Linked DNA regions of Schizosaccharomyces pombe. The protein of the gene in region 1 interacts with the protein of each later gene in a pairwise test. Each region holds a gene or a part of one and is shown on either strand. Other genes may lie near its edges. The genes, in order: dri1 and moc3.

Evidence for each region.
Region 2: the proteins of dri1 (region 1) and moc3 interact in a two-hybrid assay, tested with the Schizosaccharomyces pombe proteins (2 studies listed by BioGRID).

What each region holds. Positions count from the first base shown.
Region 1 is NC_003424.3:2,008,574-2,013,427, reverse strand, and holds dri1 (RNA-binding protein involved in heterochromatin assembly Dri1), read left to right. Parts: upstream 1-1,722; 5' UTR 1,723-1,732; coding exon 1,733-3,523; 3' UTR 3,524-4,083; downstream 4,084-4,854. Other genes in the region: rRNA processing protein Ebp2, read right to left, coding at 1-496; rdl1 (RAD51D-like protein 1), read left to right, coding at 4,587-4,854. UniProt on the Schizosaccharomyces pombe protein: Mediates heterochromatin assembly by promoting RNAi-mediated heterochromatin silencing and histone deacetylation. Binds pericetromeric transcripts and recruits the RNA-induced transcriptional silencing (RITS) complex to heterochromatin.
Region 2 is NC_003424.3:990,814-995,689, reverse strand, and holds moc3 (DNA-binding transcription factor Moc3), read left to right. Parts: upstream 1-1,901; 5' UTR 1,902-2,411; coding exon 2,412-3,938; 3' UTR 3,939-4,058; downstream 4,059-4,876. Other genes in the region: ubiquitin ligase Slp1, read left to right, coding at 1-214; mitotic and meiotic (sporulation) septin Spn2, read right to left, coding at 4,165-4,834. UniProt on the Schizosaccharomyces pombe protein: Induces sexual development and ascus formation. Also involved in calcium homeostasis.

The DNA.
Region 1 (4,854 bases):
GGGAAATTAGAACATTCGCCTCACGAAGTTTGGCAAAAGCCGCCTTTACAGAGCTCACACCTTGTTTATAAAAGGCCAGTTCACGGGCAAGATCATCCTCAACATTTTCAATTATTATAGGCTCCTTAGTAGTAACAGCTTGGTTTTCAACAAACGAAATATCATCAGGATATTTAATTCGTTCATAGATGTTCTCTAGTGCAACAGTGTTATTTATAGCTAATTTTCTTTTTCTAATCAAATCAGCGTCTTCTTCCAACTCAATTCCTTCAAGATCAGAAAGTTCAACTTCATCTGATCCCTCAGATTCGTTCTCTTGATCAGCTGTATCAGCTGTTTCAATAATAGGAGATTTAATGGTATTGATCATTTCTTTCTCATTTAATGCCTCAACAGAAGTAGAAGATTCATTGCTTTCCTTGTTTTTCTTTTCCTTCATAGCAGCTTTAGCTGCCTTTTTCTGAGCTCTTCTTTGCTTTGATTCTATTCCTGCCATCGTTGTAGTCTAGTGTGTATTCTACACAAAGCTGAATTTGAATATTTTTCAAAGGTTTTGAAAAATTTGCTTTGTGCTACTTTGATTAATACAATCTACGATTAGGCTAACGGTGACAAAGATTTTTACTATTGCAGTTCACATCAAATAATAAAGAGCACATTTAGAATCGCTAAGCTGATTAACGTTGCGTTATATTACTCTTAGTCTTCATTTAGGTTGTACGGAAGGCATTTAATAAATCCTTAACGTAAATTTTAACCCTTTATTTGTCCGTATAAAATTCGTTGTATCAATTTTAAGCTATAACTTGGTCGCATTTTATCGATTGTAGAGTTATTGCTGATAAATTTATGTTTTGCTACATTACACCAACTCTAATTGAAATGACGGTAATTTAGTAAATTATCAGTTGTGTAAGTAAATTACTATCAGCTTTTTTATGTAGCAAGATGTACAAATACTTTTCAATGGATGGCTTTTCAGTATAACTTTTCCCTTGACTTCCTGATACAATTGTCAAAATAAACAACAGTTCTTTGATTGTTTACGTGGTTACAAAAAACCCCGGTATTGTTCATAAGATGTAAGCTACGCAGTTTGGTATCTGATTTAAGGATACGTAGAACTGCGGTGAGTTTTCCTTGTGATCTATTATATTACAATACACAGGTTGTATAAGTAGCAACTGAGTATAGGTATTGTATTAACTGGGTTATAATGTTAACTATCACTAATATAGCTCATAACTGAACTGAGGAACGAGGTTCAGCAGTAGCTCTATTTATAGTATTCAGATAATATTGATCTTAATAGATTATCATTAAGATCAATCTCCATATCGTATTATACATGGTACGATATATAATTAGAACATGTGACATATAGTGATACTCAACGTAGTGTAGTATTGCTGACATAAGAATACCAAATGCTTGATGCGCTAAATTATGGTATAATAATTTATCGTAAAATTTTCATTTTCATTGTGTTTCGAAAGTATTGCTAAATTTTCTGCTTTGCATGCAAAAGAATCCCACAACAATACACGATTCGACAGTAACATCAGTTGTACATATTATTGTTCATAAAAGATTTTTCTCCTTTGAATAATTCCGCTTAGGTGGATTCTAAATCTAGATTTGTTACTTTTGTGACTGTACTTGTGAGTGACAAAGAAAAACACCAACGGGTTTGTAGCTTTGCAATATCATGTCAAAGCTACCAAGTCCAACAATGCCTCTGCCAGAATCGGTAGGCGACTTGGTTGTTTTGCACTTTGAAACAAATCTTGACGATCACGGCATTAGCATTGGCCGGGCGCCATGTGAAATTCATGAAATATGCTGGGTTATATTAGATGGAAAAACTTTGGAAAAACAACACTGTGAATCGTGTAGTATTCGTGAAGATAGTTCTCGTCATGGAATTTGTGGTTCTGCTAGTTCCTTAACTGAAGCTATCTTCACATTGGATAATTCAATCCAAGAACGATTAAACTTCCAAGGAAAACCTTTTACATTTGTTGTTATGAATGGAAGAGAGCTTCGTGTATTATTGCCAAAAGAAGCACGGGATCAGGGAATTACGCTACCTTCCTACATGCGCCATCCTCGCTTGTTTGATTTATCAAGCGAATACGCCAAGTGGCAGATTCGCATGGGTGCAGTACCACCATACACAATAACGCTTTCTCATATTTTTGGTAAATTAGATGTCGACTCTTTACCACCTATTACAGAGTCAAAAGCAATTGAATTATCACCTTCAGATGCTCCTTACATAACCAAAGGTCTTACTCAATGCTGGCGCCTTGCAAATGCTACCACCTTATTGCTTCGTAAAGCAGAGAAAGATTCTCGAGGTCATTCTCTTCCTTCGGTGCTTACACAACCCATTAACTGTCAAGCAGACGCACGAAGCTTTTATGCAGAACGGTCAAAAATTGTACACGTTGCAGGTTTGACCAACGATGTAACACAGCTCGAGTTGGAAAGTTGGTTTACTAATCATGGGGTTCATCCCGTAGCTTTATGGACTTTAAAGACTCCCGAACCTTACAAATCTACGGGTACAGGTTTTGTGCTATTTGCTAGTCATGAAGATGCTGCCGATGCTCTTGCCTTTAATGGATATTGCTTAGGAGATCGGATGCTGGAAATTATTCCCAGTAGTACAAAGGTTTTAGATAAAGCTTCAGACATTCTAATTCCTTTTCCTTCTAGTAAGAATCGCCCACGCCCTGGGGATTGGAATTGCCCAATGTGCGGTTTCAGCAATTTTCAACGTCGAACGTCTTGTTTCCGATGCTCATTTCCTGGTCCTACTCATGTTTCAGCTGCTACTGGTAGCAATACTTTTTCACCTGATTTCCCTTATGGAAATTCATACGGCAACGGCTCCTCTCACTTTATTGCCAACTATGGTGGATCTGTCCATCATTCTAACGAAAATACCATGCAAAGTGATCTTCAGCATCAGAATGGCAATAATGCTGTAAATCATCATCATTCTTCACGCTCATTCGGTGGTAATGTCCCTTTTCGTGCTGGTGATTGGAAATGTGGCTCTGAGGGTTGTGGATATCACAATTTCGCAAAAAATGTTTGCTGCTTACGCTGTGGGGCTAGCCGTGCTACAGCTGCAGTCGTAGCAGATCATGCATCTGGGCCGGTGAATGGTTCGTATAGTCATAATTCATATTCTCACATCCCCCCTGTTATGAGTACAAGTCCTCCTAATCATTCGGTGTATCCTTACTCACAACTTTCTATAAATTCAGTAACGGCTAATCATGGTCAAAATTTTGGGGGACAAAATGGTGGTAATGTATCTAGGTTCGATGATCATGGACGCTTTAAAGAAGTATCACGTCCTTCCGTTACTACTGATCAAGGCGATTGGTTATGTGAGTGTGGATTTACTAATTTTCGTCGCCGCAGTAATTGTCTCCGTTGCAATGCTCCGCATTACTCTAATATGCAGATTCCTGCATCCTTGCCTTCGGATTTCAATGCTTACGTGTAAAGTTGGACAATTATATTTAATGGATAGGTCCCGTAGTACAAAGGATATTTGGTAAACACTATAGCTAAAAATGCAAGTGATTAGTGCGATAAAAATAATCACTTATGTCTTGAAGGAGCAAATTTGATGAAACAATTGTTATTATTTAAAGGCAGCATTTTGAAAAGCAACTCTATTGGAACAAAAATTTAAAAGTTGTATTGGGTTTTCTTATGAAGGTTTTGCATAAACATTGAATTACAGGTGTGGTCAAAATTAGTTCATAATTTTCTTTGGTGGGTTTTTTTCTTCTATTTAGTGCTATTTAATTTTTGACCTTGAAGAAATTTTCGGGGAAAAAACAGCAGTCAATCGTATAGAGCTCTCCCATATTTGGGATTTGGGGATTCATTTGTTTTGGAGTGTCACACTCATTGAACGTTTGAAAAAATGGTTGTTTACCTCTTACAGTTGTCAGTGCTGTTCAAATTTATAGGGTTCTTCGGTAAATAATGTATTGTTAATATTCCTTTTTTTTATTATATAATTTATAAAAATTTTGTAACGATAATGATTAAATCAATCGATACATGAGGTTACTTGTAATACATGGCATTATTAGAGAGAATTAAATTCGCATATGTAGCATTTAAAAACAGTTAGTTGATGCTTTTCTATTTTTTCTTTTTATTCTTAAAGGGTTATTCTCAATATATACAAATCCACACCAGTGTGGCTATATACTGTACTCGAATGTTGACGACCTTTCTGCTTCTTTAATCCATACCCTAATTAAATATAATCCATGTAGATAGTTCAACAAAAAACATGAGATAAGATTCAACACACACTCATGATTAGTTAAATACTTGTTGAACATTCCGGAAATTTTTGACGATTGTACGTATCTTTTCCTTCAACGCATTTGGGTGTTTATCTCTTTTAGAATGCCATTAGCATAACCAGGGGATGATTGCAAAAATCAATTTCATTGATCATCAATATCGTTGGAAAAAACAATTCTATCGAAAGTTTAAAGCATACCAAGCAAATTCTTAAAGCAGCTTATATATTTTCTGACATTATGAATCAGGTTACTCAATTTAGTGGAAATTCTGCAAACTTGATGCTTTACTGGATTCTAAAAAGTTATTACTCTAGGTTTGATAGAATTATGTGGATTGATACTTTAGGTACTTTCAATCCGGCTGCACTCCCTCTTCCATGTCTTGAAAAAACTATGTTGGTTAGATCATTCGATGCTCAGGGATTGAAGGATGCAGTTGATGAGTTGGAAAGCAATCTCAAAAGCTCCGAAGATCAAGCATATGCATTGTGTATAGATTCCTTTT
Region 2 (4,876 bases), 1.0 Mb from region 1:
ATGGTCTTATAGTAGCAGCGGATTAACCAAACAAGTTGATATTCCTGCACATGATACCCGAGTTTTGTATTCAGCTTTATCGCCTGATGGAAGAATTCTTTCAACTGCAGCCAGTGATGAGAATCTGAAATTTTGGCGAGTTTATGATGGGGACCACGTTAAAAGGCCCATTCCAATTACCAAAACCCCGTCCAGCAGCATAACAATCCGTTGAACAACACCAGTTTCTTTTAGATTTCAACGTTTAGCTCGTCGAATCACTATGTTGCATCAGTTACTCACTATTTATTTATTTGGATTTGGCGCTAATGGGAAGATAATTGACACGTTTAAACTAATATTTTAATGACTCGTGAATAAATAATATGTGCTACAATTCAACTTGAGTCGATTTTATTATAATAGGATTGATGCTCGTATAACAAATTTGTAAATTCAATAGTTTGGCTTTTAATGAGAACAAGTTGGTTAATATAAATCTTCAGCCTGGCAAATCATTTTTCCGAAATGTGACCTTGTTGTTCCAATCGCTAAAGATATTTTGGTCTCATTGTTGTTATAATGTTCGCATCATGGAAGAGTACTAGGTAGTTATAAAAAAAAAAAAAAAAAAAAAAAACTTATCAATCTAATTCGTATTATTGAAACACAGATGAATTAAGAAAAAAAAAAACTAATGCTAATTCACGCTCATAATTGGCAAACATTTGGTATTTACGATCTCATGTATTTTCTTAACTACCTATTGCTGTACCATAGTTGGTTTTCTTCATCGGGTAATGTTAATCTCATCAGTAAACAAATACTGTTATTATACGTTATTTGCTTTAAGAAGTGAAATGAGAAAAATGGGTGAACTAGGTATGAATAGTGAATCCCCTATTGTTACAGGAGGATATGGATTTCAATAAAAGGTAAGACCTTTGACAAAGCCGACTAACCTTGGGGTGATCTGATTGAGATTAAGTACAATCATCCTGATAAAGCAATAATCGCATCACGAACAACGAACAATTCCACCTTTAGGGGTGGATAATTTGGTTTTGTGAGACTTGCATTGGCATAGGTTTTGATGCTTTTTGTGCCTTTCTCATAAATCTGGAGTATAGTTTTCTTACCGAGCGAAGAAACATGATGCTTTTGATCCAGTGACAGTTTCCCAGAGATCGACAATAGGCCACGGATCTTCGCTATGGTTATCAAGCTACTAGGGTACTAGGGTAGGTGTAGCGTTCAAAGCTAACAGTTGTATTCAAGCTTAAGTTTATATTTTGTTAATATAAAAGAGTGACAAGTTTGCATATGAATGAAGATTTTCGCTAGTGCAGAGTGAATGAACGATTTGAAATAAAAAAAAAATGCAGGAAGCATCTTCGTATGCGTAAGCCATGTAAAGATCAACCAAATCGCTGTAACAATGGAGAGACATGTGGCTCCTGAACATGACAGATATTCGAAGCCACGTGGTTATTAACCAACTTGATCAACCTAAATGAGAATGCAAACTATATTTAGGTACATGCAAAGAATTTTTTTTATAAATTGTCTGAAAGAAAAAGAAAAAAAACAGAAAAAAACGAAAAGCAAGGAATGCTATTTATGAAACACATGAGGGCATAATCTAAGTATCAAAAAATTAACGAAACATCTGTGTTTTTTTTTTATTTTTAAAAGAACATTAGAGGTTAAACAAGTTAATCGTTCTTATACTGTTTTTGCTTGGCTCGTGATTTTCTCAATTCTTTGGATTTTTGTACTAATGCGTATCAAGCAAGCTACTTTACTAACGTCTAAATAAAAAGCTCTTAGTATTGTTGTTGCCTTTGGGCTTATCAAATTTGCCGCCTTATCACTCGCTAATGTCGAGGTTCCTACTTGAAAGTTGTTCCAACATTTTTTCTAAGTCCTTTATTCACCCAAATTTGCATTTGTAAATTGGGTGAGCTTGTCGCTTTTGCTAGTTTTGTTTTCAAGTCACTTCCTATAAACCTATTGATTGTGCAAGAGTTGCTAGCAAATTGCTAGACGACCATTGATTTTCACCTTCTTTTGTTTTTTTAGGGCTTTTTCTTTTGTTATTACGAACAGTTTGGCCGTCCGGTTATTCTGAAATAATTTATTGTATTCATATATATATAATTATAGAGTTAGTAACGCTACCTTTTTTAAAAAAAAGACTACAAAGAGTTTCTTGGCCTTTACGAAAAAGGTGCTTAGTTTCCTTGTTAAATTGGAGCTTAAATTTTGTATAAATCGGCTTCCAATTTCATGTTCTGTGCTTGCGTTTTTTCTTTGCGCGCTTTTCTCAAGCAGCGTAGCGTTTTCAAATCGGGCTTTCTTTACTTTTGATTTGTTTAGTTCCTATTATCTTGTTATTCTTTTTTTTTCTATCTATTGTTTCCCTTGCAGTTATGAACCCGTATGTTTCTTATCCCGAAATTCATATGAAACGGAATAGAACGGGTAGTATTAATTCAAATCCGCTATATATTCCCAACCCAAACGTCGAGCCTACGCCCAAGCCCACAAAAAGAAGAACGAAAACTGGATGTTTAACATGTCGCCGTCGCAGGATCAAGTGCGACGAAACCAAACCTTTTTGTTTGAACTGCACAAAGACAAATAGGGAATGTGAAGGTTATCCAAATTCAGCTGCTCAAATGCAAGCCATGGGGAGTGTATCGCCTCCTGAGCTAAGCGTTCATTCTGCTCAACAGCCATTGATACCTACTTCAATTGCTTCAAGTAGCGCTCAAACCGGAGACACTTTTTCCGGCTCTTCACAATCCAATTTTAATACAAATGATCTTAATCAGATGACCTCCTCCTCCAATTTATCCACCGTTACCCCAATCAAACAGGATCATCAAAAACCTATGAATTTACAAGGATTTCCAAGTGCTTATCAACAGCATCAATACCTTCAATCCAATCATAACGTTCCTACAAATAATTCTTCTAGCGCTACTTCGTCTACAAAACCCTCTGTACAATCGGTGGGTCAGGCCTCTTACCCTTTTCTTTCATCAGTTTCCAATTTCCCTTCAAACTTTAATTCCGAACTGTTTCCGTTTTATTTTCACGATGTCGTACCTTCTATTTGTGCATTTGAATTTGATAATAACATAGCCTTGCATTTTTGGTCAGTCACTGTTCCCCAGTTTGCTCAATCGATGCCTTGTATTGCTAATTCTTTAATGGCTTTTGCGTCTATTAAGAAGCTCGACGTTTTTGGTGCTTACAGTCATTTGACCAGAGCTCTTCGCTGTCCAATGCCTGGTCCCAATTCTTTTGAATACCTGTTGGTTTCTGCATTTTTGACTCTCACTCAGCTCAATCTCCCAGCCTATGATCTCAATTTTTGTAATAATTTTATTAGAAAGTTAAGTTGGTCTTCGTCTACCAAATCAAATTATGTCAGCTTATTGATTGCTATGGTCGTTCGTGAACTAGTTTTTGCAATTCTTCCTCGTGGGTGTATCTGGGGGTTTAATGGAAAGCCTTTATCGGAAGTTTCTGTTTCTCGAAGTCATGCACCTGTTTCGGATTCTTTGTTTACTATTGGATTGGACATTCTCTCTCAACCAACCTTGTCTGATGATTTGCATCGAGAACGAATGGTTGCTTGGCGAGATGAATATCATGTGCACTTGTATTCAGCATCAAGAAGTCCTCTTACTAAAGTTATAGATTGTGTAGGACATGCCGTTACCAAAAACAATAATGACGTTCTTTCTGGCTTACAGCAATTAATGCAAGAAGAATGCACAGATATTGCAGTATTACGCACTTCCTATTTATGCGTATTATCTCTACAAAATGTTTTTGCATCAAACTCTAAAGAATTTAAACTTCGGGCACAAATCGAATCTCATTTCGGAAGATTGATGCTAGAACATTTTATGGATTGCAATGTCTTAAATCGACCAGTACTTTAATTTTAAAATCATTTTGATGCTTTTCAATAAATATTGATATAGAACTGTATAATAGCTAGACAAAATCACGCATCAAACATATAATCTCTCGTTAATAAGATAAACACTTCATTTGTAAGATTCGCATAGTGTAAAAAGAGCCGAAATTTACGAATTACGGTACGACAGTCATACAAATGGTTTAGTCTTTGTTCTAAACATACTATATATTACCTTAGGAAGAAGACTATTGAGCGGTGGCTGTATGGAGATGTGGTTCAGAAGGGTACACAGGTGCGGGACTTCCCATTCTAGTTGCGAGGGAAGACTGTTCTTTTAAGCTGCTCAATTGCTTAAAGCGGAATTTCTCGTAATGATAGTATGAGGTCGTTTCAATTAAATCTTGAAGATGAGTTCGCATCAAAAAGTTACGAAGAAAAACAAACTCGCAGTGGTTTTCATCATCCACATTGACAACCCCCCATCTGTTTTGACGACCACGAATAGGCCTTCCATCTACGATAATGGCTTTTTCGGAACCGACCACGGCAAAAGGAATAAGATTTCGGACGGCAGCATTTAGATTAATTTCCTCCTCATCGGCGTCATCAGAATCATAAGGATACAAATTGATGTCGTGTTTAACAAATTCTTCACGGATTTGCTGCTTAAATGCTGCTCTTTCTTCAAGAGTCAATGAATCAGACTTAGCGATAACAGGCACAACATTTACGACTTCTGTTAAGCGTTTGAGGACAGCAATATCAATAGGGCGCAAAGAATGTCCAGTTGGGCGAATAAAGAATAAACAACAATGTACTCTTGTGTCTTGTAGACGTTTCTCGCGATGTGAATTTAATTCACGACGAAGATAGGAAGAGTGTTGGTCCCTAATGTACTTAATTATAGGCTCCCAGCTATTATAGTTAGAAATTGCTGTGCAGGAATAGAAATTTCCA